4 linked regions of the Pelodiscus sinensis genome follow. The protein of the gene in region 1 interacts with the protein of each later gene in a pairwise test. Links are inferred from orthologs where the notes say so. Each region holds a gene or a part of one and is shown in the gene's direction. Other genes may lie near its edges. The genes, in order: CRY1, PER2, BMAL1 and PER1.

The links.
Region 2: the proteins of CRY1 (region 1) and PER2 interact in a two-hybrid assay, tested with the Homo sapiens proteins (5 studies listed by BioGRID, with this or other methods). The link is inferred for Pelodiscus sinensis from reciprocal best matches to the Homo sapiens genes CRY1 and PER2.
Region 3: the proteins of CRY1 (region 1) and BMAL1 interact in a two-hybrid assay, tested with the Homo sapiens proteins (3 studies listed by BioGRID, with this or other methods). The link is inferred for Pelodiscus sinensis from reciprocal best matches to the Homo sapiens genes CRY1 and BMAL1.
Region 4: the proteins of CRY1 (region 1) and PER1 interact in binary tests that used the Homo sapiens proteins (3 or more experiments, as listed by UniProt). The link is inferred for Pelodiscus sinensis from reciprocal best matches to the Homo sapiens genes CRY1 and PER1.

Annotation. Positions count from the first base shown.
Region 1 is NC_134711.1:96,455,399-96,462,444, reverse strand, and holds the start of CRY1 (cryptochrome-1), read left to right. Parts: upstream 1-4,029; 5' UTR 4,030-4,591; coding exon 4,592-4,749; intron 4,750-7,046. Other genes in the region: MTERF2 (transcription termination factor 2, mitochondrial), read right to left, coding at 3,845-3,860.
Region 2 is NC_134720.1:10,340,769-10,348,326, reverse strand, and holds the start of PER2 (period circadian protein homolog 2), read left to right. Parts: upstream 1-4,551; 5' UTR 4,552-4,760; intron 4,761-5,961; 5' UTR 5,962-6,164; intron 6,165-7,558. UniProt on the Homo sapiens protein: Transcriptional repressor which forms a core component of the circadian clock.
Region 3 is NC_134714.1:101,481,168-101,488,844, reverse strand, and holds the start of BMAL1 (basic helix-loop-helix ARNT-like protein 1), read left to right. Parts: upstream 1-4,668; 5' UTR 4,669-5,014; exon of another isoform or gene 5,015-5,132; intron 5,133-5,335; exon of another isoform or gene 5,336-5,461; intron 5,462-7,677. UniProt on the Homo sapiens protein: Transcriptional activator which forms a core component of the circadian clock.
Region 4 is NC_134734.1:10,861,759-10,869,288, forward strand, and holds the start of PER1 (period circadian protein homolog 1), read left to right. Parts: upstream 1-4,529; 5' UTR 4,530-4,622; intron 4,623-6,972; exon of another isoform or gene 6,973-7,491; intron 7,492-7,530. UniProt on the Homo sapiens protein: Transcriptional repressor which forms a core component of the circadian clock.

The DNA of each region.
Region 1 (7,046 bases):
TGATGAATCTTCTTCCTTAATTAGAGTGCTAAGCACTACCACATCTTTCTCTCTGAGAATCACTTATATTCATATTTTCCCATTTGATACAAGTATTGTTGCCATTTTTAAATATAAATGTTCCAATTTAGGGCACTGAGGCATGTTTGGATTTAATAAAATTCCCAGACTTGAAAGTGGAATTAAGATTTTAAATAAAGTAACTTCCTTTATTTAAAAAATTAGAATGTAATTATTAAATAAACAAACATTTGAAAGGTATGCTACTTAAAAGTTCCAAAAAATAAAATCTTACCTAAATATAGCTTACAGCTCCTAGTCCACTTCACCTAACATATTAGCTTAAGGCCAATATCTCTCTCAGTCTCCCAAACTGAACAAAATCTCACGTCCTGATTTCCTTCTATGGCCAAGAAACCTCAATATATCACATTTTATGTAGATGTGGGTAAATGCTGATTTTAAATTGAGTTGGGATATTACTAGAGGCCCAAAAACTGTGACAAAAAATAATGAGATCATGAGAAAAGGTTGTTTAGTGAATTTGTTACCATTGAACTTTTGGTGTTATCTTATTTAAGTAGTCCTGTGGCACCTTAGAGACTAACAAAAATATAGAGCATCAAGAGCTTTCATCAATAAGACCCACTTCACCAGATGAAAATATGTCCAGAGCTTGTACAAAGAAGATGGTTATCAATTGTTCTCCAGGCCCACTGATGACAGGACAAGAAATTATCTGCTTAATTTACAGAGAAGGAGATAGGTTAACAGAAAGAAAACTATTTCAGGGCTTAATTACCCTTTTAGGTTAAGCGAAGATGTGGAACCACCATCCTTTGTCAGGAATGGTCTAGGCTAGGTGTACTTGGCCCTGTCCCAGTGTACGTGGATGGACTAAGTGACCTCTCAAACTCCCTTTCAGTACTATATTTCTATGATTCACTGAATGTACAACGAGACATGAACAAAACTCCTGGTATTCCTTTCTCTAACACTTATTTTATATCTATCTCTGTGCTTTTACTAGGAGAGACCAGTTTCTGACTCAGTAAGACAGGGTGATAGAGTGCCTCAAAGGGCAGGTAGGCAAGTTCAGCCGTATGGTCGGCCCACCAGATTACAGCCTTAAGGGGATATGTGTCCCAACCCAGCAGTCCTTTCTTAGTTGCGTTTGGAACTGTGCACATAATACAATCTGATTCAAGATTTTCAAACAGCTACAAAAACTTTCTTAGGTTTTGTGGGGTTTTTAAATTTATTATTTTGAACATGCTTAGCTGTATCTCCGGATTATCTGGGACTTGTATTAATTCTACCTGTATCTCTATTATAAACAAGATAAACATTTTAACCTACTACATTCAAAAAGGCCTCCCTATTGTGAAAGTGGGTCAATAGAATACTGCCTTAAATGCAACTTACAAAGCTCATCTTATAGAGGATACTTTTAAAAAAGTGACCTATTTCAATTCATGAATTATCTTCATCTGTGGTTAGAATTTTATTCAGTTTAAGGTCTCCTTTATAACAACGATGGCTGAGATTTGAGGGGAAAATGTAGTGCCTAGCCTTATACTGCTCTTAAACATACTGGCTACATCTAGACTGCTTCCTCTTGTGCAAGAAAATATGCAAATGAGGTGAAGCAATGAATATTGCCATGTCTCATTTGCATACTTAATGAGCTACCTTTTTGCACAAGGGGCTTTTGCGCAAGAGCCATTCTGCCGCTTTTTTTCAGGCAGAACAGCTCTTGTGCAAGAGGCAGCTTTTGCGCAAGAGTTGTATAGATGGCTCCTTTATGCGCAAAAGCCCATTGCGCAAATATGGTGGCTCATTAAGTATGCAAATGAGGCGCAGCGATATTCACTGCTTCACCTCATTTTCATATTTTCTTGCACAAAAGAGCGCAGTATAGACGTAGCCGAAAGCTCTTGAGAACGAAACAGCCAAAGTATAGAAAGTAATTACAAGAGTACATAGAAATATATATAAAAGCAAATTTGATAAGTGTCTTGGGGTTAGGGAAAATTGTGTTAAAGGTGCATTTAAAGGAACATGGTTTTGTGTTCATAGTTATGCTTTAGTATTAGAGCTGATCATAGCATTTACTTTACCTTTGCTGGGTTTTTAATCTTTCAGTGAATCATTTACTGAGTAATGAACCTGAGTTGGCTTAGGCTGGGCCTATGTCAATCTAAATTTTAAGCAATGTTGCTCAAAGGTGAGAAAAATGTGCACATAATGTTATCGTTATGCTGAATTAATTCCTAGTGTAGTTCTGGCTAGATTAAGGGAAGATATTCAGCTGCAGCACAGCCATGCCCTAGTTTTACCTAGACTTCTAATCATTTCATTTCACTGTCACACAGGGCTAGCACATAACCAAGGGATGGATTATAAACTGGCTGAAGGAAAGGTGATTTATTTTTCTAAAGTGACCACACATCCTGTTTTAGCTGGAACTTTAAAAATTATTATGAAGTTCTGACCCTGCCCTCCCAACTTTTTTTTGGCAAAAGTGAGCACTTGTCCCCTTTGCTCTTGCCAATTTAATCCAAGGGGTGGGGTGTGGAAGAGGAAGAGGCAAAGCAGAAGTAAGCCCTGTGCAGGGAGCAGACAGGGGTGGAAAGAAGGGTTTTTAAACCAGCTCTGTGAGCAGTGGGCACTCAGGCTATGTCTACACTGTTGGGTTCTTGCACAAGAACATCTTGTGCAAGGGTTTTTTTGTGCAAGAGCATCCATGGCAGCGTGGACGCTCTCTTGCACAAGAAAGTTCTGATGGCGATTTTAGCCATAGGGCTTTCTTACGCAAGAAATCCCTGCCGCTCGTCCACACTGCCCTCTTGCGCAAGAGCTCTTGTGCAAGAGGCCTTACATGTGTTAGAAAAGAGCATAGCTCTTGCACAAGTTGCCCTGTCTTCCGAGGCCGTACTATAAATCTTGCACAAGGGCAGGGAGGCAGTGTGGACATTCTGCGGGTTCTTGCGCAAAAACCCACTAGTGTAGACAGCCTCAGGGAGCCACCTCTTCCCTCCCCCCATTAGAGGCGACAGTGGGTGGGGCACAGGCTGGGGCAGCCCATGGCTATAGGCGACTCAGCCGCCGCCTGGGGCGCCGCCACGCGGTGTGCCCAAGGATGATGTCATGGGGGCACCTGCCCATGACATCAGGCCATTGACGGCCCTACCAACAGGGGCACCGATCACGTATGCCCGCTGGGGCGCCAGCTGCTGCAGCTGGTCTCTGGCTGCTCCTGGGCACAGGCAGGAGCCAGTGCACATGGGGAGCTGGCTTTTCTGCACTGCTGTCTCTGATACAGATTTTCAGCAGTTATATAATTTCACCTAAACACATTTTAACATCCCTAAGCCTCGCCCTGTGCTGAGGCACCGCCCCAAGGGGGGTTGCAATAAGACAGTCCTGCAAGAACTTTTAAGTTACTTTCACCCCTAAGGGTGAGCTAGCATAAGGGGCAGGGAGGGCAGAGGAAGGACACCGAGGAGTTGCTCTCCTGAGCCATCAGCACAGCTCTGCACGAGCCTGACTGCCCTGGGGTGGGGCTCCCGCCTCTCCGGCCCGGGGCCCGCACTGCCTGGGGCTGGCAGCGCCCCGACACGCAGAGGCGGGCCCGGGCAGGTGCGCAGAGCGGTGGGGGCGCTGCGGCTTTAACGGCACTTCGCGCAGCTTCGTTATGCAAGCGCCAGCCCGTGTCCCTGCCGGCTCCTCCCGCCCCCGCAGCCGCCCAGCGCCCCTCCCGCGCGCCCGCCACGTGAGCCTCCGGCAGCCGGGCCAACGCGCGCCCGTGACACGCCTGCTGACGAACGTCCCTCTGACGTACGCAGGATTCTCTGCATAACTGCCCGTTTACGGCCTGCCGTGCGCAGGGGAGCATGCGCACTAAGAGGCGCGCCCGGAGCCTCCTCGCCGCCCCGTGCTCATCCGGGCTTCTCCCGGAGCAGGCGGGGCTCGCAGTGACGGAGGTGCCGTCCCCTTCCCCCCCCGCAGTTGGGCTCCCGAGCCGCGCAGGCAGGCGGGTGTGTCCAGCGGAACGGGATCGGTGGTCGACCTCTAGCGCAGCGGTTGCGCTCGGTTCTGTCCTCGAGGCCCCAGCCCGCGCGCCCCGCGGCCCCTCCCGGCCGGCTTACTAAACACACTTCGGGAACGTGAGGGCGGCGAGTCAGGTGGGGCGGCGGCAGCCAATAAGAAGGCGGGAGGCGGGGCTTAACGACTGTCGGCTTCGGAGTCCGGCACCGAGTCACAGGGCGAGCGGCGAGGAAGCCACGGGCTCGTGGCAAGAGGCGGCCCGCGCGCGCGCGGGGGATTTCGGAAGGGGAGGGGATGTGCCCCCCTGAGGCGGCCGGCCCCGCTGTCGCCTCCGCGGGGTCCTAAAGCCAACGGACGATCGCCGAGCGGAGGCAGCGACCCCGGCAGCAGCTTCGCGTCTCAGTGTCGCCACGGCGGGGGCGGCGTCCGCCCCGCTCTAGGGCTGCCCCGCAGAGACCCACCCGGGTCCGGCATGAGCCGCGGCGGCTCTTCCTGAATCCCCCCTCCCTCCCACCGCTCCGGACGGGACCGCGCCCGGGCCATGGGGGTGAACGCGGTGCACTGGTTCCGCAAGGGGCTGCGGCTGCACGACAACCCGGCGCTGCGGGAGTGCATCCAGGGCGCCGACAGCGTCCGCTGCGTCTACATCCTCGACCCCTGGTTCGCCGGCTCCTCCAACGTGGGCATCAACAGGTGGCGGTGAGTGAGCGGGCCCGGTCGGCCGCGCGTTATCGCCGGGTTACGTATGCGCCCCTCCCGCTCCCCGCCCGCTCCCCGCCCGCCGCTCTCATTGGCCTTGCCTGACCCAGCAGCGGTGCCAGTCTCCGCCACGGGCCCGCTGCCCCGCATCCAAAGCACAGGGCCGAACGGCCTCCGACGAAAGAAAATGTGACCCTGCCCCCCAAATAAGGGAGTTCTCCCACGGGGGCCGCTCACTCTAGTCCCCTGGTTTTTAATCCGCTGTGTTGTATAACCATGACTCAAGGAGAGCTAATGACTAGTGGCTGCAGCCCCTCGGATTTCCATTAGGGGAGCATTGCTAGTAGCAGTGGCTGGAAACTTTAGGGAAAGATACTAGTGTATGCAAGTCAAAAGAGCTTAGCTTCAAAATCATAGAAATGTGGGTCTGGAAGGGCCCTCAAGAGCTCTTATAGTTCAGCCCTATGGCATGGCAGGACCAAGTAAACCTAAATCCCGGGTTGATATTTGTGCAACCTGTTCTTAAAAAAACTCTCCAGTAATGTGGGTTTTTATAGTCTACTTTGGAAGCTTATTCCAGAGTGTAACTATCCTTGTTGAAAGAAAGATTTTCTTAGTGTGTAACCTTAATTTCCCTTGATGAAGATAAAATTGTCTTGTTTTCAGAGCACAAAGAACAGTTGATTATCTTTTTTTATATAACAGCCTTCAAATAGGGTTAGGGCTATCCGGTCCTCATCAGTCTTTCTCCCTCTCTTCTCTCCCCTCCTCCCCCCCCTTAAGACTAAATATGAACTGATTTTTGATAGGTAGGAATAGGCCACCCTTACTTTTGTGTTGCTCCTGATGGGGTGCTGCTCTCAGATGCTAGACACCCAAGCAACAACTGTTGCTTTCTGACAGCTCAGCTCTGCACTCAGTGCAGAAGTAAGGATGACAATACCATAATCCACTAAAATAATATTGTGACTCTTCCCTCCTCCCCTGCAACTCCCTTTTGAGTCAGAGCCCTCCAATTTGAAAAACATTGATCTCTCCAGTGGAATCTGTATAGTATAAGGTAAAAGCACGCAAAGATCAGATTTCCTGGACTGTGAAATCTGATTTGCTTCCATGATCCATTTTTCATATCTGTGAATTTGATAGGGCCCCTAGATATTAGGAAAGAAAAGGTTTAGAAAACCTTTTGTTCTGTGCTCTTTCCAGTTTGTTCATAAATTTGACTCCCAGACCTGGATGCAGTGCTTCAGCTGAGACCTCATTAGGTGCTGAGTAGATTAGGCCAGTTACCTCCCCTAAATATCTGAGCTATGATTATTTTATGACCAAAAATGCACCACTACCAGGTGCTGAATTCATGAAAGGTCTTTTTAATATTTTTGGCACATGGCTTAACAGATCTAAATGTAAATTCTCTGGAAAAAATCCTGTCAATCCTGAACAGTATAAGTGGTGATGTTTTTAAGGAAGATGCAAGTTTAACCAACTTCATACTTGAAATGTAAAATCCTGTAAATCAGATTTAACCAGTTAATTGATGAAGTGGGTTGTCCCTGCTGGCCCCCCTATAGGTGGGGTTTGCAGCTGACACTGCCATCCCCCTCTCTCTAGTGAGCAGGAGCTAGCAGTTATCTGCAGGGGGAGGGGGACAGATTCTGCCCCAGCCCACACTGGTTAACCAGAACTGGTGAGAGACTTAACAGTTAACTGTTCACATCCCTACCAAAAATAGTGTACAGGTTGAAACTTCCTGGTCCAGCACCCTCGAGACTGGAGTGGTCCCAAACAAGGAAATTTGCTGGATATGTGGAAGTCAGGTGTTTGGGCTCTCCTGGGGTTCCCCTCCTGCCTGCTGTCCCTTGAGAACCCAGAGGCTCGGGGGCAGCCCATGATTACGTCACAGCCATTGACAACCGTGCAGGTGGGGGCGCCGATCACGCCTTCTTCCTGGGGTACCAGCTGCCGCAGCTGGCCTCAGGCTGCTCCTGCAGAGGCTTGACTGCCTCTGACCCACCTGCCTGGCTCTGCTGTCATCATTCTGCTCCAGAAGCTCTCTCCTGTAGTTCCCTGGCCCTGCACAGGGCCGTAGCTGCTCCCAGGGCTCCCTGCTGCCAGGTGATTGGCCCTGCAGGCTGCAGCTAACCAAACCAGCTCCACTCCCAGATGCTCTCAACCTTTGCAGCCAGCACTCTCTAGTCTAGCAACATCCGTGGTCTGGCAGGACCACAGGTGTTGTCAGACCAGAGAGTCCAGATGAGAGAGGTTTAACCTGTAGTGGATTCAGATGAGAGCTAGTG
Region 2 (7,558 bases), on another chromosome or scaffold:
CTCTCCGTATATATCCAAAAGCTACATATGCTGCTATTCTTCTCCAGGCTCAGCACACTGGTTGAAAAGGCAGTTCACTCTTCTCTATCCCGTCCCCACTGGCTATTCTTTTTTGCTCTACCAACAGCAATGCAGAGGTGTATCTGGCAGTTCTACTAGCAGGACTGAGAGCTTCTGCAGCACTTTTTTCAAATTCATGGAGATAAGCAGGCTCAGGGTGTGATGGGTGGGGAAGGAAGCTCGGAAGAAGATTACTGCAGCTTTCATCATGATCTGCCCTCACTCTCACAGGTTGCTATGTTACAAAGGCTGGGAGGAACAAGTCCTTCCTGACTCCAGTAGCCACAGAGCTGATCAGGCAGGGGGCTGCTGCCCCATGCACATTCAAGTTTGCCCAGCTTTAGATGTTTCAGTGCTTCACTGCAAGAGCAACTGAGCTAAAGGACACACCTGGGATCTTTCCCAGTTGTCAAGAAACAAACACGAGGGCTACATCTACACTGGCCCCTTTTCCGGAAGGGGCATGTAAATTTCACGAGTCGTCGTAGGGAAATAAGTAGGAATAAGAGCCTCCGGAAAAGGGCACTTTTTCCGGAGGATCGGGGCCAGTCTAGACGCTCTTTTCCGGCTTTTTTAAAAGCCGGAAAAAAGCGGCGGACATTTTTATTTAAATGCCGCGGGGGATATTTAAATCCCCCGCGGATTTCCCTACGACGACTCGTGAAATTTACATGCCCCTTCCGGAAAAGGGGCCAGTGTAGACGTAGCCGAGGTATCACTCCACAACCACTGCTTAAATTATACTCATAACTTTCCCATTTTTCCCAGGTCTCCAAATCTGGGGGAATGGCAATACCCCAGAGAGGCCATCTATTTTTCCCTTTATTCTACTTGTCTGAGAGAGTCTTTCTTTTGTCTCTAACAGGCTTTGGGTCAGTTTACCAAGTAAGGCTCATACGGAGTATTACAGACAAATGGTCCCTCAGTAGGTGGCAATGGCACTTAATTCTTAATTCTGGGGCTTTTCCCCTGAAAAACCTTTTAAGGAGCTATTGTTCTTTTACATGTGCAGATACAAATAAATGCTGCCCTAAGCAGTCAGCCATTTTACAGCTGTGTGTCTGCTGATCTGTATGTCCCCTTTCTCTTCCAACATCTCCTCTTTACTTACTCTTTTAATACAACCAATTAGGTCATCATAAAATGGGATTTTCAGGTCTCTCCTCCATGTCCTATTCCCTTTCTATTTCGGTCTTCTCTCCTGAGCCTCCGGTCTCTCGCTCGGTCTCTCGCTCTCTCTCCCCTCCTCCTACTGCCTCCCCCACCCTCTCTCTTAGCTCTTCTCCGTCTCCCGCCTCTCTCTCCATCTCTCTTTCTCTTCACCCCCTCCTGCCTCTCACTCTCTTTCTCTTCTTCTCCTCCTCCTGAATGGGGAGCGCGGAGCCCAAGTGACTGTTTGTACCACTTGCTCCTGTGCGGCAGCCCAGCTGAGCGGCTGCCTATGAGCTCCAGCTGTCCCCATGCACCGTTTCCCTTCACCCCAGCATTGATCCTACAGCCTCCCAGTTGTCCTCCACCTCTCCTTCCCCCTCGTTCTCCCACCTTCCCCCCGGCCAGGGTCTATTCATGGCCAGGGGGTGGGGCCTGAAGCCACACGTCATGCTGCACGTCACCGCCCGCCCCCCTTTGCCTCCCGCAGTGGCGCTCGGCTGACTTCTGTGCTGCTCAGCCGGGCCACTGCGGGGGAGCAAGCAGCACAAGCAGCCATTTGGGCCCCGCGCTCCCCATGCAGCATGGACCCCAAACAGCCACTTGCGCCACTTGCTTCTGTGCAGCAGCCTGGCTGAGCGGCACAGAAGTTAGCTGAACACCATGGCAGGAAGCAACAGTGCCGCCCAGAGGGAACAGCCAGTGTTTCAGCATTAGAGTCACAGACATTGGGCTACTATATATGGGTATGTCTACACTAGCCCCCTAGTTCGAACTAGGGAGGCTAATGCAGGCATTCAAAGTTGCAAATCAAGCCCGGGATTTAAATACCCCACACTTGATTTGCATGTTCCCGACCAGTTGCCATTTTTGAAATTACAAGCCCAGACTAACTGCCTGCGTCTACACGCGGCAGGGAAACGGGCGTTCGAAATAAAGCCCTAAATCGAACTACCTGTTAAACCTCATTGCGGGAGGCAGTTAGTCCAGGCTTGTAAATTTAAAAAATGGCGACCAGCTGGGAACATGCAAATCAAGCGCAGAATATTTAAATCCCGGGCTTGATTTGCAATTTCAAATGCCTACATTAGTATCTCTAGTTCAAACCAGGTGGCTAGCGTAGACATATCCAAAATGATTTCTGAAGGTGGCAGAGGCTATGTTTAGACTATGGAGTTTTATTGGGAAAAGATATGCAAATTACACTCTGCAATTTGCGTACCTTTTTCTGATAGTTTTGTCAGAAGAGGCTTTTCAGAAATTTGGCCCATCTACACTGGGCCAAATTTTGGAAAACCCTACTCTTTCAGAAGAGTGCCGAGTGCTGTGGTATCCCAAATGAGAGTAACCAAAGCAGAGAGAGAGGAAAATGCTTTGCTGTCCCTCAGCGAGGTAGGCAAGCAAGCAGGAAAGCTGAGACCTGGCTGTCCAGGAGGGTCCCTTTAAGAACCAGCCTCAGATAGCCTCAGACAGCAGCCACACAAAGCAATTACTGACCTGATGCCCTGCTGGAACTGGTTTCAGCTGCCCTTAAATGCGATCCAGCGTCCAATCAGTGTGGACACACTATTTCAAAATAGCAAAATGCTATTTTGAAATACAGTTTGTGTCTAGATGCATTATTTTGAAGTAGCTTAATTCGAATTAACTATTTAATTTAAGTTAATTTGAAATAGCGCTGTTGTGTAGACATACCCAGGCTGACTAGAAGCAAAGAGGTAAAACTCTATTGGGATTAGGGCGTGTGTATCAAGCCAGATCCCTTGAATTCAGTGGAATTGTATTGATTCCCACAGCTGAGAATCTGGTCTTCATGCTTTTACCTGGCCCTCTTCCTGCAGTCTTTTCCTAGAAAATGTTTTTCTTTCAATGTGTCTTGTGGGAAAGTGTCCTTTAGATGGCACCAAACACTTGCACTGTGGAAATCCAACAGAAATTTATGGTTACTACGGGGCCATTTCAGTTCATTCACTTGTAATCTGTGTTTTTACTGACTTCAGTGAGGCCAGGATTTTATACATAGGTCCTAATTCTGCTTCCAATGGAAGGTAATGGGACTTCTGCTTTTTACTTCAATTGGAGCAGGTCTGGCCCCATTATCTTTTGTCTTCTCTTGTGCATAAATACAAGGTGCATCTTATAATTCATCCAGTCTCTGCTAGAGAATTTAACAGTTTTCACTATGTAAAAGGTAACAAATGGTCTGGTAGCACTTTAAAGACTAATAAAACATGTAGATGGTATCATAAGCTTTCGTGGGCACATCACATTTCTTTAGATGACCAGAGTTTTGAGTTTAGGATGTGCAGACCCAAACTAAATAGGAGAGAAGGGGGGGGGGGGGGAGGAGAAAAGTGGTGAGAAACAAGGAGCAAAGGGTATGAAAAATCAAAGGGAAAAACAGGATGGCAGAGCTGGGAATCAGTAAGCACCTGAAGATTGAGTAGTTAAAACAAAGCAGATAAGAATCAAAGTCAATAGATAGTACACTTCCTAACTCAGGAATCTACGCAAAGAGCTGTTTGCACCTTCATTGAAGGTTAGGTTGATAGTGTCCTATTTATTTTGGGTCTGCACATCCTAAACTCAAAATGCTGGTCATCTGAAGAAGTGGGCTGTGCCCACGAAAGTTCATGATACCATCTACATGTTTTGTTAGTCTATAAAGAGCTACCAGACCATTTGTTGTTTTTTCCATTACAGACTAACTCAGCTACTCCCTAAAACTATGTAAAAAGTGTGTTTGACTAATTTTTCTTTGCTAATTATTACTCTTCTGGACAGATTAAAATTAGATTAAGGACAACTGACATAGTCTGCAGTGTAATTTATAAGGAATTGCAGGCCAGTCTCATATTTATTGCTGGCATAAGTGGGCAAAACCCTATTGACTTCAACAGATGCTGCACCTTTATAAGACACTGATGAATTTGGATCAGGATTTCTGTTTGGGCACTTTAACCAATTACCGTAAAATCACGAGTATAATGCGCACCCTACCTTTTCAACATCAGAATCATGGAAAAAAGTGAACTCCTATATATTATGCGCACCCGCATTATACTTGCAATTTTATGGTATATATAGGAAGGAAGGGGCCGCTCCCATCTGCAGGCTCGCCCGGGAAACACACGCGCAGCATTGGGGAGCCAGCTGCAGAGTTTGAAACCTGCTCCCCACCCAGCTGCCTGTACTCCATGCTGAGCTCGTGCCTGTCACGGGGCCCCTTGGCCCCCCCCCTCCCCTCCGCTCCCAGCTGTCCTTGCCGAGACCGGGCAGGCAGTGAGCCAGGGCGCTCCTTGCCTTGTCTGGGAGCCTGGCTGAGCTTGCGCCTGCCGCAGGGGCCCTCTGCCCAGCTGAGCTCGTGCCTTTCCAGCTGAGCTCGCGTCTGCTTCGGGGGCTCCCTGACCAGCTGCCCATGCACCGTGCCGAGACCGGGCAGGCAGCAAGCCAGGGCACTGCAGTCTGGCGGCACCACTGGTTCCTCGCCTTGTCCGGGAGCCTGGCAGGGCACCGCGCTGCAGCTGGAAAGTTTCTGTGCAGAGGGGAGGGTGAGTTAAAAACTTTAATGCTACGTCTAGACTGGCATGATTTTCTGGAAATGCTTTTCTGGAAAAGTTTTCCATTAAAGCATTTTCGGAAAAGCGCATCTAGATTGGCAGGATGCTTTTCTGCAAAGCGTCCGTGGCCAATCTAGACGCGCTTTTCCGCAAAAAAGCCCCAATCGCCATTTTCGCGATTGGGGCTTTTTTGCGGAAAATAAATCTCTGCTGTCTACACTGGCCCTTTTGTGCAAAAGTTTTTCAGAAAAAGACTTTTGCCCGAACGGGAGCAGTGTAGTATTTCTGCAAAAGCAGTGACAATCTTACATGAGTCAGTGCTTTTGCAGAAATTCAAGCGTCCAGTGTAGACAGTTGGCAAGTTTTTCCACAAAAGCAGATGATTTTGTGGAAAAACTGGCCAGTCTAGACACAGCCTAACAGAAAATCTCCTATGTAGCATGCGTACCCTAGCTTTGACCCTAAAAAATGGGGGGGAAAATGCACATTTTCCTTGAGATTTTACGGTAATGCTTAAAATCAAAGTAAATATATTTCAATTTGCATGCAAAAATTGAATTACTCTGCTTCTCCCAGGACTTTCTGTATGTCTCTTCTGATCTATGATGTTTGAGCATCAAGGCCATAGTGAAATTAACAATGACTGGAGTTTTTCTGTGTAAAATGTCCTTCCGTCCTCCAATACCAAACAGGATTTCACACTATGGTTAGGGGATCATCTTGCATGAGTAGGAGCTGATAAATTGTGGTAACTTCTATTATAAATTCTTATCAAGCCAACTTCTATAGTTATAATAGAGTTTCCCTATTGTAAGTTATCAACTGCAAAAACAAAAGCTTAGACTTGTGTCCCTAACCAGCACTCAGAATTAGCTTGCACATATTGCAAATGTGCTAGTGTCTGCTAGCCAGCCTGTTTCCTCTAACAATAGTGAAGGAGCTAATGGGGTTAAAGCACCAGTGCATGTTTCTCTAAAAAAACTTCATGGAAAGAACTAGTGTACATTTTAACATCACAGTATTGTATAGTCTGTAAAGACACTTGAGCTCAGCATGATTATGTTCACCTGACTGTCTACCTAGGACTCCCAGGATAAGTTTAAGTAGCCCTGTAACAGAGGAATTGTCTATGTAACAGCAAGCTGTAATTTTTTTCCTTCACCTCCTAAAAGAGCATTTCCTGTGAATACAGACTTTCCATGTATGAAGTGTGCTAACCGAGGATTATCTTTTCTGGTGGTGGACATCATGCGAGTGAATGTAGACAAGGTTCTAGAAAGAGACCAAAAACTTTCAGAGCTTGACAACCGGGCAGATGCATTACAAGCTGGTGCCTCACAGTTTGAAACCAGTGCAGCCAAACTGAAGAGAAAATACTGGTGGAAAAATTGCAAGGTAAAGAGGATAGATATCTCTTGTTTAAATCTGCCTCATAGAGTATTTACTTTCACTTTGCTCTAATGAGCCCTTGTAAGAGTAGGTTGGCTTTTAACAACCTTTTTTCTTAATGCTGAAAAGTAAGCTATTGTACTCTTTAAGGTAGTCTTCGAAAGCAATCGTGACGTTGAATAGAGATAGACATAAACCTACTCTATAGCTCAGAGAACCTCAGATCTTTGTGCTGTTTGAAATGAGAGAACAATTCAAACAACTTCTTCTGTGGAGAAAATTGCTTAATTTAAAAATCTAAATATGATAGTGTGATATGTAAAATGATGAAATGGACACAGTATGCAAAACCTCCAGCCCTAGCTCAACAAAAATAAACTTGCAAGTATGCACAAAACCAGTTCCAACATAGCATATATATAGAGTGGGGTGGAAGAGCCTTTCTCCTCTTGTGGGGATTGATGAATCTCTTTCTCCTTCATGAAGGTAAGCTGCTGATGAGGAAGCCATTGGGCTCAGGTACTCTTCAGGCTGGCACAGGAAGTGAAGGATGAAGAGAGTTTTCATGAGGGAAAAGCAAAGATTGAAATTCACCAAAATTTTGCCCTAGTCCTCAACATACTCATCCTTTCCCTTGAACATGGAACACCCTTCTTTCCTTCCTGTCCTAAAACCATCTACTTCTCCAGTCCAGTATTATCCTTTCCAGCCTCACTTCTCAGCCCTCCTTCTGTCTGTCCCCATGCCAATCAGTCATCCATATGCCTCTCCAGAACAAGCCCCAACTCAGTTGCCTGGATTCATTGCCCTATCCCCTAAAAACCTGTGGTGCTGCTCCCTGGTAAATCACCTCCTTCCTAAGAAAGACCAGCTGTCTCGAGGGCTGGCTCCTGACCCCCTAGGCCCTTCCTGATCCCTCTGAAAAGAGAATAAAGTAAGCTTCCAGACCTCAGGAGCCAGAGGAGGGGTAGATGGAGAAGAGAAAGGGCCAGTACCAGTTGTTGGTTCTTCCTTGCTGTCACACATGTGCACGACAGGACATTAAGGCCCCTCTTGATTTTCACAAAGGGTGTACTTTTCAGTCATACTAGCTAATCGAGGGTATGTCTACACCACAGCACTAATTCGAACTAACTTAATTCAAATTAGTTAATTCGAACTAGTGCATCTAGACCTAAAAACTAGTTCGAATTAGCATTTTGCTAATTCAAACTAGCACGTCCACATTGAGTGGACCCTGAACCGAGGTTAAGGCTGGCCGGAAGCAGTGCCGGCAGGGCATCAGATGAGGACTTAGAGCGTGCAGCTGCTGTCTCAGGCTAGCCGAGTCTGTGCCTAAAGGGACCCGACCCCCACCCCGGACAGACAGTTCTCAGGGGTTCCCCGCTTGCGAAGCAGTC
Region 3 (7,677 bases), on another chromosome or scaffold:
CACCAGGTGCCCCAGAGAGGGGGACCGAAGACAATGATCAAGCGATTTGTCTCCTGCCATCTCTCTCCAGCCTCTGACAAACAGAGGCCAAGGACACCATTTTATCCCCTGGCTAATAGCCTTTTATGGACCTAACCTCCATGAAATTATCTAGCTTCTCTTTAAACTCTATTATAGTCCTAGCCTTCACAGCCTCCTCTGGCAAGGAGTTCCACAGGTTGACTACACGCTGTGTGAAGAAGAACTTTCTTTTATTAGTTTTAAACCTGCTACCCATTAATTTCATTTGGTGTCCTTTAGTTCTTCTATTTAGGGAACTAATAAATAACTTTTCTTTATCAGCCCTCTCCACACCACTCATGATTTTATAGACCTCTATCATATCCCCCCTCAGTCTCCTCTTTTCTAAACTGAAAAGTCTCAGTCGCTTTAACCTCTTCTCCTATGGGACCCGTTCCAAACCCCTAATCATTTTAGATGCCCTTTTCTGAACCCTTTCCAAGGCCAATATATCTTTTTTGAGGTGAGGAGACCACATCTGTACACAGTATTCAAGATGTGGGTGTACCATAGTTTTATACAGGGGCAGTAAGATATTCTGGGTCTTATTTTCTATCCCTTTCCTAATAATTCCTAGCATCCTATTTGCCTTTTTGACCGCCGCTGCACACTGCGTCGAAGTTTTCAGAGAACTGTCCACGATAACTCCAAGATCTCTTTACTGATTTGTCGTAGCCAAATTAGCCCACATCATACTGTATGTATAGTTGGGGTTATTTTTCCCGATGTGCATTACTTTACACTTATCCACATTAAATTTCATTTGCCATTTTGTTGCCCAATCACTCAGTTTGGTGAGATCTTCTTGGAGTCCCTCATAGTCTGCTTCTGTCTTGACTATCCTAAACAGTTTGGTATCATCTGCAAACTTTACTACCTCACTGCTTACCCCTTTCTCCAGATCATTTATGAATAAGTTGAAAAGGATTGGTCCCAGGACTGACCCTTGGGGGACACCACTAGTTACCCCTCTCCAATCTGAAAATTTATCATTTATTCCTACCCTTTGTTTCCTGTCTTTTAACCAGTTCTCAATCCAAGAAAGGACCGTTCCTCTTATCCCATGGCCATGTAATTTACACAAGAGCCTTTGGTGAGGGACCTTGTCAAAGGCTTTCCGAAAATCCAAGTATACTATATCTACTGGATCCCCCTTATCCGCATATTTGTTAACCCCTTCAAAGAACTCTAATAGATTAGTAAGACAGGATTTCCCTTTACAGAAACCATGTTGACTTTTGTCCAACAAATTATGTTCTTCTACATGCTTCACAATTTTATTCTTTACTATTGTTTCGACTAATTTGCCCGGTACTGAAGTTAGACTTACCGGTCTGTAATTGCCAGAATCGCCTCTGGAGCCCTTTTTAAATATTGGTGTCACATTGGCTACCTTCCAGTCATTAGGTACAGAAGCTGATTTAAAGGATAGGTTACAAACCACAGATAATAGTTCAGCAATTTCCCATTTGAGTTCTTTTAGATCCCTTGGATGAATGCCATCTGGTCCCGGAGATTTGTTAACATTAAGTTTTTCTATTTGTTCCAAAACCTCCTCTAATGACACTTCAATCCAGGACAGTTCCTCAGATTCATCACCCACAAAGGACGGTGCAGATTCGGGAATCTCCCCAACGTCCTCAGCCATGAAGACTGAAGCAAAGAAATCATTTAGTTTCTCCGCAATGGCTTTATTGTCCTTGATTGCTCCTTTTATAGCTCGATCATCTAGGGGACCCACAGGTTTTTTAGCAGGCTTCCTGCTTCTAATGTACTTAAAAAACATTTTGTTATTTCTTTTTGAGTTTTTGGCTAGTTGTTCCTCAAAATCTTTTTTTGCTTTTCTTATTACATTTTTATACTTGATTTGACAGTGTTTATGTTCCTTTCTATTTATCTCACTAAGATTGGACTTCCACTTCTTAAAAGATACCTTTTTGTCCCTCACTGCTTCTTTTACATGGTGGTTAAGCCACGGTGACACTTTTTTAGGTTTCTTGCTATGTTTTTTAATTTGGGGTATACATTTAAGTTGGGCCTCTATTATTGTGTCTAAAAAGTTTCCATGCAGCTTTCAGGGATTTGGCTCTAGTCACTGTGCCTTTTAATTTCTGTTTAACTAACCTCCTCATTTTTATGTAATTCCCCTTTTTGAAATTAAATGCCAGGGTGCTGGACTGCTGAGGTGTTCTTCCCACCACAGGAATGTTGAATGTTATTATATTATGGTCACTATTCCCAAGTGGTCCTGTAACGGTTATTTCCTGGACCTGATCCTGCACTCCACTCAGGACTAAATCGAGAATTGCCTCTCCCCTTGTGGGTTCCTGCACTAGCTGCTCCAAGAAGCAGTCACTTAAGCCATTGAGAAATTTTATCTCCGCTTCTCTTCCTGAGGTGACATGTATCCAGTCAATATGGGGGTAATTAAAATCCCCCATTATTATAGAGTTCTCTATTTTGGTGTTTAAGACATGGTGTTCCATGGTCTTAAAAAGTTTAAGAAACACTGATCTAGCAGCACCTTAAAGACTAACAAAAGGGGATATAGATGTTATCAAGAGTTTTTGTGGGTGCAACTCACTTCATCTGATACCATCATGAAACCATCTGCATGTTTTTTTAGTCTTTAAGATGCTGTTAGACTATTAGTTGTTTTTAAAGTTTTATAAGTAGAAATTTGCAACAAATTTTGTGCCTACCATAACTATTTTTCAAGATAACAATTTTTCAAGATGCAATCAGTAAGATTGGCAATTGGACAGGGAGATTTTGAGACAATGGGATGTGATAATTACAGGTTCACATAATGATAATACAATGCAGTGTTTGGGTATGGCAAAATAAATGAACGCAACAACATTGTGACTGCAGTGGCACAAAACATACCCATTGTGTACTAGTACTGAGATATTCATGTTTCTTCCTACCCACTTCTTAGCATGTTTAAATTTAGCTTGTAAACTGGGACAATGTGTCTTTACTATGCTTTGTGAGGTGACTAGTACACTTTAAGATTTGTAGAATAATATTGCATTTAGACACATCAATTTTTGACACTGTGCAAGCACATTGTGAAATGATACCATTGATATTCAGTAGCAAAGCCATTCCCTTGTGCTGCAGTGTCATCAATGTGCTTGTGACATCACCACCTTGTGCTTCTATGTCATCTTCTGCTCTGCTGTGCTGGAATGTGGCGTAGGCAGGACAGAGGTGTTTGGGTTTCGTCATTCAGAAAGTTGGAAACCTTAGCCTTGTCTCATGGTGCTACATCATCCCTGTCGTGTCACGACATCACTTCCACGGCAACATCATTGCCTTGAGCCAGGATGTAGCTACCGTGTCATCACACGAGATCCTGGAAATCTGTTTGTCAGGAAAAAAACACCTGGAGTCTGCATTTTTATAGAGCATCTTTAGTTTTTACATCTGTGAAAAATAAAAACAGAAACATGTACAGTGGAACCCTGATTATCTAATTGGTATTAGGGCATGATTGTGGATAATCAGAATAGATAGATCTTGTTTATCAGCCCTACGTGGTAGGGCTTCAGCTTCAGCCCAGGGCAACAGCCCTGAAATCATCCCCGGTGCCAACTCTGCCCTTATATCTATACAAACAAATTCATCACTGGACCCAACCACTTTAGGTACCACATCAGAGGCTCATTTAATTGTTTCAGACCAATTCCACAAGCCAAATACACAGAAAAGGATTGGAACTTAAATTCATTTACAAGTTTAATTTTTATGCTAATGGTCTGAACCCACACTATTTTCCACCTTTTAATGACATAAACCAACTAAACAACGGAGGTGCTAATGGTTCATAATAGCCTCCTGTAACTTTAACAATCTCTCTTTTTATTCCTGTCCTCCCCTTCCCTTCGCTCCTCCCCCCCCCCCCCCCCGCCCCGCTTCCCTTATTTATTCTTGGATCTGGACTTATTATACTCCAGTCATCTGAAGAGGTGGGCTGTGCCCACAAAAGCTCATGATCCCATCTACATGTTTTGCTAGTCTTTAAAGTGCTACCAGACTATTTGTTGGTTTTTAAGTTTTTCCTAAATAAGCTAGTTTTATGACATTAGAAAAATGACTGGTCTGATGTCCGCTAAAATGTAAGGCAGTGACCCTGCTCTACAAGGGATAGGTTCCACCTCTGTAAACCGGAATTCTCTGATCTGGGAACATTTGCGATAGGGCAGGACCATGGATGCTCCAGGGTCAGAGAGTCCCGGCTGCTGTGGTGAGTGGGGGGGCCAGGATTCTGGTGCGTGGGGGGGAGCCCAGCTGGGCTGCGGGAGAGTGCAGGCAAGGGGGGGGGTCAGGGTGGAAGGAAGGGGGGAGCCAGCCCAGAAGCGACCTCCCTGGTCGGGAACACGGCTCAGCTGGGAGCAGGGAGGCCCCGCTGCAGCGACGCTGGGGGGCGACAGGGCGCTAACACACGGTTAAGCGGTTCACTCATGACACGGGATTTTGCATCCCTGGTCCAGTGACGTCATGGCACTGACAGGCAGGCTGACGTCACGGTGACGACACTGCAGCCTGTGACGCTATTGTGGCGAACTGCCCCACCGGAAGAATTGCCCGCCGAGCGCGCCCCGCTCTTCCAGGGGGTGGGGCCGCCACAGAGCGCTCCGGCAGCGGCACATCCGGGTCCCGCCCGCCAGCAAGCCTTACGCAATCGCTGACCCCGCCCTGTTATCGCACACGCCTCCCTCCAGCCCCCAGTTAGACCTTCATGGGGGGGCGGGAGGAAAACTGAAAAGTTCTGATTTGATTGGCTGCCTCTCCTCTGGCAGGCGCCGATTGGTCGAAGTTCTGAGGGGCAGCTCCGGGAGGCCCTCTTGCAAGCCATTGGACGACGACCTTTCAGAGCAGCTCGCTCATTGGCGGATAGGGACGTTAGCGCTCGGGCCGGGGGGAGCAACCATTGGCTGGAAAGTAGGTTAGTGGTGCGACGTTCGGTGGCAAGCCAGGCGGAAAGTAGGTCAGGGACGGGGGCTGCCTGCACTGCTCATTGCCCTCAGCGCGCCGCAGAGGGGCACCGACCCCCTCCCCGTACGGTGAGGAGAGACGGGCTGGGTCTGCTGCGGCCCGGGCGGGGGGCTCTGTTGGGGGGAGGGGCTGCCGCCAGGCATCGCGCGGGGGCGACCAGGGACTCCTGGCTGGGGGGGATTCCTTCCTGGGGCTCGTGAGAGGCTGGGGCCGGGCAGCCCGCGGGAGCAGCGGGGGGATTGTTTGTGGGCATCCCACATAGATAATCCTTACAAGTGTGTGTGCGCGCCTACATTAGCGGTTCCCTAGGACCCAGGCTTTGCACGGATCTCAGCGTGGGCATAGTATCCCCTCGCGCCTGCTTGTGGCTGACACACGCTGACTGGTTTGACTTGAGGTTTGTCTTTGTTAAATAGTCCCTCTTATATAATACATTATAAATAAACTCTTATAGGAATATTATATAGGAACACAAAGAAATAGTAAGAAGCCAAACAGAATGAAATGGGTTCAATAATACACAGGAAGAAAAGCGACAAGTCGATTCCATTGATTAGTTTACATGGTGGAAGATGTCATGCATCAGTTGTTAGTGCATTGGTTAAAATAAATTGCTTGACTTGTAAATCTGAGGTAATTGTAATGATTGTTTCGGGAGGAAAATATACAGTGCTGGAACAAAGTGTGGGTCAGTCCCCTCATGTGCTCTCCAAAGTATGAGCGTTCCCAGCCTCCCCATAAGCAGTATTTAAATAGACCTTGTTATTTGGGAGTGGAATTGTTATATGTTAATTTTAGGAAGAGTCCGATTTAAAGGAAGTGAAACAACCTGTCTTAGCAAGACTGAGAAGGGATACTAAAATATTGAGTTTGACAGATGTCACTTTCAAAACTAGCTTATTTTTAAATTTAATATTTAAAAAAAAATTTCATGCCTCTTACATTAACTCTTTCAGTAAAGGCAGATGAAGAAAACAGGAAAAAGTGTAGTAGGCCAGTGTATCTTGCTATTAGATCATATTTAAAGTAGTTTGGAGTCTTTGCAGTTCTCTCTTTTTTTTATCTAAGCCACCCTTGAGCCTATTATCCCACAGTTAGCTGCCTCCACTAACTATCAGAAATTTTGCACCTGTGTGAAGAGTTTGCTCATGTGAGGAATGGGACAGTTTGATGAATACAAAATGTATGTAGTGAATACAAATATTTATAGTAGCACTCAGTGGCCTAATAAAGATCCTATTGTGTTAGAATAGTGGTTTTCAAAGTTTTTTTTTTTTTTCATGATTAGATCCTTAACTTTTTTCAAACAGAGGTGTGAATTCCTCTGAAATCTTAACTATAGTCTGCAGACTCTGGTTTATCATTGAACAGACCACTGTTCTAAAGAAAACCACTGTGTTAGAAAGTAAGAGACTGTCCCTCCCTCCCCTCATGATCTAAATGAGCTGCTGAGCACTGCATATTTTTTCACTTAGTTGTTGGTTGGTTGTTTTCAGTGCTTGGTTTTTTTTTTATTAAAAATGTTTTACTTCTGATTAGTTGTTTGAAAGTTGTCATGTTTAGCACTGTTGCTGCTTAGAATGTTCATTGGTAGCTGTTATTTATATCCAGATTGAGGAAAATAATATAATGCGTTTTAATGAAATGTGCTTATGTATGGAGAACAATTACTGTGGCTTCACAATACAGTGATTTTGATTTTTAACTTGTTTATAATTGGTGAACCAAATGTGTGTAAAAGGCCCCATTTGAGAACAGTAGATATTTATTTCTTTGAATACCTCCATTTTCTAAATTATTCATATTTCAGAAAAAACTGTTTCCCCAACTTTCAGTATGTCATGTAGATGAAGGATACATGAACAAGAATCAGAATTTAGAAATCCACTTTGATTTAACTAGCACTGATGTACCACTCATAATATCTCTGCATTCCTTCCTTTTCTGTCTTCAGCATCTGAGGAAGTGAGTTGTATTTCACAAAAGCTTATTCCCTAATAAATTTGTTAGTCTTAAAGTGCCACAGTACTCATTTTGTTTTTGCTCGAATTTAGAGCGGGGTGGGCAATAATTTCTGATGGGGGGGCACTCCAAGAATTTGAACAGTGGTCAAGGGCTGCACTCTTCCATATTAATGGAGGAGGTGTGGGGTCTGGGATGGAGGTTGGGTGCAGAAGGGAACTTACAGTAAGGGACTGGGGTGCAGGAGAGAGTGGGAGGTCTGGGAGGGAGTTTGGGTGAAGTTGTCAATGGTGACCTGGGTTAGGGGGACTAGGGTTCAGGGTTTTGAGGTGTGACCTGGGGAAGGGGACTAGGTTGCAGTCTTTTGGGTTCTGACCTGGGGCAAGGGATTGAGATACGGAATCTGGGAGGGGACATGGGTGCAGAAGGAGGGGGCAGACATTTTGAGTTTATGTGGGGTGGGGAGGGGGGCAAAAGGAGTTGGGGTGCCAGAGGCAGGCTCTGGCTGGGAGACTTATTTGCTTGACTCCCAGCCAGCAGCCTTCCCAAGCAGACTCCCTCCCTGCCCTGTCCTACGCTGGCTGCAGGGCCATGTGATTTTTGAACAGCTAGGAGCCTGGGGGGAGGCGGGAAGGGTGCTTCCCAAGCTGC
Region 4 (7,530 bases), on another chromosome or scaffold:
ATCCAGATGGATCCTTGGAAAAGACCCGCCCCCTACTGCAGAGTAAGGTGGGAAAAAAACCAACTTCGCTCCCATAAGCCCCCTCCCCCATGCCTTATGAAAATTGGCTTATGGATATGCATAATTTCATACTTTATGCAAAACAGGTCACGTAACATAAATTGTACAGTTACAATGAATCTGTGTATCCTATTCTTATGCATGTGTCATTCTTGTATGTGAAGTTAGAAATACGAAGTGTGGATCTGTTTATAATTCTAAATACACTAATAAGAGCCATTACTGGTGCTGCAGTGCTTAATGACTCAATACTCAAACTGATGACTTGTGAATGGGCATGTTTGTCCTATAAGCTCCAACTGTGGTTGGTCTTTGAAAGACATGTGACTATCTCCCCCTCCTCCTCCCGGAATCCATCTTGAACCTGGTATTTTTCCTTAGGGAGTGGGGAACAAAGGGTTCCCAGGAAGGAAAAGTTTATTTAACTGCCTGGTGCACACTAAGAAAATACAAAGAACTTTGAAGTAGCTGTAAACTCAAATCAGAGTAAAGATCAACTCTGACTCTCTCTTTACCTGAGATAAGAACAACTATTTAGGGTAAGAATTTATATGTAACAGTTTGCTTAGTGAATTAGTACTAGCTAAGCATTGTTTATTTTAATTCAGTAATTTACTTTGATCGGTCTGTTTTCACTTGCAACCACTTAAATCCTATATTTATATTTAATAGAAACATTTTTGTTTATTGTCAAGCCCAGCATAAATAATTGTTACGGGGAAATGGAGGGGGAGGGGACAACCACTGTGCCCCTCTTTCTTCCATTGGTAAAGGGGGCTGACCATACAAGCTTTCTCTGTGTACAACTTTTACATGGAGTAAGGAGGATTTATTTGGGGGTTAGGTCCCCTTTGGGGTTGTTTTCCTGGGTGCTTAGCCCTCCCAGAGTTAACCTGGTTCAGTGTCTGCGTTACTCTTCAGGGGGGCAGTAATCCCTACTCTGTGTCTTGGGAGACCAGAGGATCTGGCCCAGCAGGACAGAGTGGTGGGGAGCCCCAGAGGAAAGAAAGGTGGTCGTTCATGCCGTGGTTAGCACACCCGGGGATAGCCCTAAGGCAGTGGTCCCCAACCTTTCAGGGCTGCCGAGCATCCAGGTGCACATGCTGGGCGTCCGGGGGCGGGGCCGCACATGCGCCGCACGTCCAGGGGCAGGGCCACATGCCCGGGGCAGGGCCCGGCCCAGATCATTCCGCGGGGGACCACTGCGGGGTAGTCTATGATTTTAGCCCATCACAGTCCCTGCCGATTTAATCATAGGAAAATTCCTTCCTAACCCCAAAGACAGTGACATAGTTGAGCCAGCCAAGCATCAAAGAGAAAAAATGCTTGGTGCCAACTCAGCTCTCTGGCCCAACTCTGGCTTAGCTCTGATGCTCCAGAAGGAAAGAAAAACAATCATCTGGGAGAGAGGGAGAAATTCCTTCCTGATCCCTGCAGGTGAAAGTGCAAGGCCCTGAAGCCTGAGATTTTCAGAAAATAAGAGAAACTGTTATGTGTTCTCCTTCGCCTTAGGACTGCCAAGCTCCACTCCCCACCTTACAATGGCCCTCATCCACTTGTCTGCCTCTTACAACTAATTATGCTCCCCCCCCCAGCAATTCTCAGAGGGAGGCCATCTCAGAAGATGGTTTAAAATGTTTCTAATGCCCAGCCTGAACTTGTCCTGGGCAATGTTGTCATCTAGCTTCAGTCAGTCTTTGCCCTTCTTGGTGACATGCACAATGAATCACACGCCAAACCCCCTTGATTTCAGCATCATGTCTGCTGGACCTTTTAACAATTCCCTCCAATTTCAGTGTCATACATGCTGGATTTGATGCCAATTTTCCTACAATCTCAGCATCTTGCACGCTGAATCCTGTGCTAAATCTCAGTGTTATGTGCACCCGGTCCTGCACCAATTCTCCTTGATTTTGGCATCTCACACACCAAATCCTGCTCTAAATCTGTAGGATGCCAAAATCAAGCACACTGGCTCCAACACCAAATTCCCTTGATTTCAGGGTCACACACGCTGGATCCTTCACCAGTTCCCTCTGATTTCAGCATCACGTACATCCAATCCTGTGCCAAATCTGCTTGATTTTGGCAACACATCTGCCGGATCCTGCACCAAATGCTCCCAAATTTGGCATCACACCTGCTGGGTTCTGTGCCAAATGCCCCTGATTTTGGCATCACACCTGCTGAGTCCTACACCAAATGCCCCCGATTTCAGCATCACGCCTGCCAGGTCCTGCACCAAATGCCCCTGATTTCAGCATCATGCCTACCGAGTCCTGCGCCAACTGTCCCCAATTTTGGACTCATGTCTGCTGGGTCCTGCGCCAAATCCACCTGATGTATTTATAAATAAATCCATTCCCGTCCTGCCCCCTCCAGTTAGCTCTCTTTTTGTCAGGCAAGACAAGACAGCTCTTCATATCTCATCTCTTAGGGCAGGTCCTTTGTTCCCATGATCATTCTAGCAGCTCTTCTCTGCACCTGGTTCCGGTCTGAATTCATCTTTCCTCACCATAGGTGAGCCAAATTGGATGCAATGTCCTAGATGAGTTTTTACCAATACCTCCTCCACCAGCCCATATCTAGCTCTGCCAGCAATGCCTCTCCTGATACATCCTAGCTCACATTAGCCTTTTTCTCTATCCCATCACATCAGTGGCTCCAGCTCAGCCTGCAGTCAACCGACTCACTTTGAGCACTTTCCTTCTTCATTGCTTCCAGTGGACAAGCCCCTGGCTTACCACAGAAATTCTTGACTATACGCGCATGACTTTGTGTTTTGGACTATGGAGTTTCATCCTATTTCTGCTCTTCCAATCTTCAAAGTCATCTAGAATATTGTTCCAATCTTCTTCATGAACGATGGGGATTTGCGTATCAGAGGCTACACTCTGCACCAAATCCTCAAGATTTCTATGTCTTGTCCACTGGTTTCTGCACCAAATCCTTCCAATTTCTGGCCCAGTGGTTTTTTTCCATCCATGTGCAGAATACATTTTTTTACTTGCACCGAGGCATGTGTGAATGTGCACCACCAGTAGAAACACAAAGTGCTCTGCAAATCAGCTGGGTACCACTGGAATCTCTCCTTAGTGGCTACACAAGAACCCAGCTTATGGGGAATACAGATGCCTACAGAATCCTGCACCAAGTCCTCCCAATTTCTACATCTCATCCTCTGGATCCTGCACCAAATCCTTCCCATTTCCATGGCTTGCATGCTGGATCCTGCACCCAATCCTTGCGATTTCTACATCACACTAGCTGAATTCCTCCCCCGCCATTTTGGCATCTCACATGCTGCATTCTGCACCAAGTCCCCCAGGTTCCAACTGCTGAGAGAGGGAAGTGCAGTCTAGTGGTTAGAAGGGCCAGGACTGGACACAAGGTTAAATCTCCGCCAGAGAGACTAGGTCAGGGGGTTGGAGAGAGCCCTGGCATAGGCTCCCTCGATCTGCCACAGCCAGATGCAGCTCAGTGCCGCAGAGCCGGAGCCCGGGGCTCTCTCAGCTCTGACTATTAATAGATGTCCCAGTGACGGGAACAAGGCATTCTCTCCTAGCCTAGCCGCCCAGGCTCCGCCCCAACTCTCCCCAGTCACTGAGCAGAGCATGGATCCTGGGAGGAGGAGCGGGGCCTGCCCCAGATCTGGGACCTCTGGTTCCGGAACGCAGCCCCATGAGCCATAGGGCGGGGCTGCCGGGCGCTTCATCCGCCTCGTGCCTGAGGACTGACTCAGATATGCTTTCCCGGGCAGTGCTAATGGGAGCTAGTGGATAGAGGACAGGACGGTCCTGGGTTCTCTCCTCTCCTCTGGGACGGGAGAGGGGCTAGTGGTTAGAGCAAGGGGCTGGGCGCTAGGACTCCTGGGTTTTAGCCTGGCTCTACAGGGGCGGAGGGAGGCCCCTGGGCTCTGCCAGTGACGTCATAGCAGTCCCCTGCCTCAGTTTCCCCACCTGTTCCAAGCGGTTAGCGTGGGGCTGGCTGGAGCTGAGAAATGGGTCCCAGACCCCCGCCCAGAGGCCGACACGGCATCCGGGCTCCCAGCCAGAAACGGGACCCAGGGGTCCGGCTCCGCGTTCCCCCTTCCCTCCCAGAGGCCCCGGGCTCCCCGCCCCCCGCCAAGGCCGGAGATAGAACCCAGGTATCCGGACCCCTCCCCCTCCGAGCCAAGCATGGAACCCGTACTTCCGGATCCCTGCCCCCACCCCCGCTCGCCGCTAGCCCCGTGCGCCGAGCCCGCACGTGTTCCCCCAGCTGCTGCTGCGGCGCGGCGCCGACCAATGGGCGATCGGCTGGGCGGGGCCAGGCGAGGCGCGAACCAATGGGGTGCCACCGAGGGCGGGGCCGGGTCACGCGCGGGCCTGCATGCCCGGCCGGACCACACCTCCCGGGGGCGGGGCCTCGTGGCCTCACGCGGCCGCCTGCATGCCCGAGAGCCGGCTGGCCAATAGCAGCCGCCGAGCGGCCAATGGGTGGCGGAGGGGGCGGGTCCGGTGGAGGGGGTGGGTCCGGGCATGGGGCTGCGCAAACAGAGGCAGACGGGGCGCGGCGCTGCGGTGAGTGGGGCAGGCTCCGGGGGGCGCGTGGGGCTGGGCGGTTGCAGGGGATCCGTGCAGCCTGGGGGGAAGCAGAGCAGGAGGCTCGGGGGAGCAGGACCCGTGGGGCTGGAGGGTAGAGGGGCGGGGCTGGGTCTCTGGGGGGCAGTTCCGTGGGGCAGAGGGGCTGGGAGTCTTGTAGAACTGGGGTCTCGTAGCACTGGGGAGCTGTGTCTGTGGGGCTGGGGGCCCTGTAGGGTGGAGGGTTGAAGGCGGGGTTTGTGCGGGTTGGTAGCTAGGTAGGGTTGGATCTGTGGGGGCTGAGAGTGTTCGTGGGAGTTGGGGATTCCCATAGGGCTGGGTCATTGGGGGGGTTGGAGGTCTCAGAGGGCTGAGGATGTTGGGGGGATGAGTCCATGGGGGCTGTATGAATGGGTTCATGGTGGGCTGAGGGTGTACATAGGGGTCGCAGAGGGTCTGGGTCCCTTAGGGCTGGGGGGATTCATGGAGGCTGAGTGTCCCATAGGCTGTGGGTTGTAGGGCTGGTAAGGCACAGGAACTGGATCCTAGGGAACTGGGGATCATATCAGGCAGAGAGGCATGGGAGTGCAAAGGGATATGGGGAAATCTCTAGAGTGGGAGGATTTCATAGGAGCTGAGGAGGTTCCATGCTCTGAGCAGATGAGGAAAGCTATGGGGAGACGTGCTTGGGGATCCATTGGAAGATAAAGTAGCTGGGAAGGAAGGGTTAGCCTGGAGGGAGACCCTTGGGGGAGGGGCTGACATTCAAGGGGCCCTGTAGGGCAGAGAGCTTTGGGATATCTTTCAGGGGAATGGCTATGGAGGGTGTCTGTGAGATGGGGAGTGTCTGGGAAGCCAGGGGGTGGTCTGAGCATTTCTGTGGGGGATAGCTAGGGGTTCCCATGGGGCTGGGGGTCCTGCAAGGCAAATGAATTGGGGGGACTGGATCCAGGGTGGGCATCTGCAGGGGAGTGGATTTGGGGATATGTGGGAGGGGGCATATGTTCCCCCCCAAATTTTCCTGACCTGACATTAGGAATGGGGGTGGGGTTAAGGGTCACTAGGAGCTGCACGCTCTGCAGGGAGGTGGGTGATAAGTGGCTAGGTGGACAAGCTGGTGAGGTTGCATTGGTACTGTGGGGAGGTTTTGGGGGGCTCACAGGCAGGATGGGGTCTGAGCCCAGGAGGAGTGGATTCTTCTGGGTGGGGGGAGTCAGCGGCACTGTGCAGGGTGCCAGTGTGCCCCAACCCCCTCTCCCCCCAATTTCCGCATGTTGCCATACAATCAAATGCTCCATTCCAGGGCTGGTTGAATCTCAGCCAGCTGTGCCTGGATAGCTCCATGCTGTGCTTGGAGGAGGGGGGAGACAGGAGAGAAACCCCCCTCTGGCTGTGTTGTCTGGACCCTGTGGCATCAGCTGGGGCTGCTGAGTATGTGTGGGCCCCTTTCATAATGGCCCGAGTGGCTTATATAATTGGGGCTTGGAAAAAGGGCCAGCTTGTGAGTGGGACTGAGTCATTGTGTGATTTCCTCCCCCCACCCCCATGCTGCTCGGCTGAATGGCCTGAAGCCCCAGTTCCGGGAGACTGATGTGTTGCGGGAGGAGGAGCTGTTTGTGTGATGGGGTCCTGGGAGGGTTTGGGCCGTGACCCTTTTGTGTCCTTTTTCTCCTCTGTACTTGCTCTGCAGCTGTTGCCTTGTGTGCATGAGCTGGTTGGGTTAGTGACGCAGGACCACACAATGGCAGAGCTGAGCCAGGGCCCTGGGTGCCCTGGCTCCTAATCCCCTTCCTCTAATTTACCGGTCCCCACACCTCTTCCAGAGCTGGAGAGAGAACCCAGGAGTCCTGACTCCCAGTCTTTTGGGGTGACTCAGCTCTGGGGGGATCCAGAGCAGCAGGTCCCATATTCCTGGCTAAGATTGAACTTGCCTCTTACTGGTCCAGGAAAATGCCCCTTCTGTTTTTGGGACATTTCCAGCTTTGTACGGAAATAGCTGGGCCGATATTCTGCCCCCTGATCCCTCTTGGGCCCAAAAGGGAGGAGCCCCAAAAGCACAGCTGGGAGGCTGTGTGTGCTCCACAGATCTGCCTCGTACACATGGGGGGGAGGGGTGGCGACACAAGATGTACAGCCTAAAAAAGCCAGCTTAGCCGACGACGGGCTGGCAGCATACAGATTACAGCTGAGAACATCCGTGGCCCAGGCAGTCAAGAGGATCAAGGTTTCTTCCTGGGAGCTTCGCTGTTCGCCAGTCCGGAATTAAACGCCATTGGTTCTGTTCCTAAAAAAAGATATATCCTAAATTCCCAGTTTCACAAGGCTCAGGATGAAGGTAACCGCATCTCCTTCCCTCCCCCTTCCAGGAGGCCCCGATCACCTGGCGCTGGCCCAAGGGTTTACACAAAGCTGGTGAAATTCTGCTCCGCATTTGGGGACTCTGAATCTTGCATGTGTGCTGAGACTCCAGAGCAGTGGCTACCCTGCGCCCAATTTGAACGGGATGTCGGCTGTCCTCCAGGACCGTACGCAGCCCAGTGTCTTGTTAGTGCAAAAGGATGCCAGTTGCCAGCGAGCTTTCTGCATGTCATGGGTTGTTTTGGAAAGAGCGAGCATGCCAGGGTTACTGTAAATGTTGCAATCCCGCACTAGCCCAGGTGTGCTTCTCAGCCTGCCAGATTGTGAGAATAAAAAATACAGTAGGACAGAGGTTATTGCAGTGGCCAGGGTTTGTTGGCACAGGGGTGGGGGTGCGTAAGCAAGAGCAGGGGGTGTGGTGCCGTGTTTTGCCACGTGCAAACTCCTTGGACTGCTTCCCAGCTGTTCTCCGGTCCTGCTGAGCCTGGCCTGGATGGCTCGTCTGCCAGAGGTGAGTCACAGTTGCTGGACTGTGGTACGGGAGTGGGTT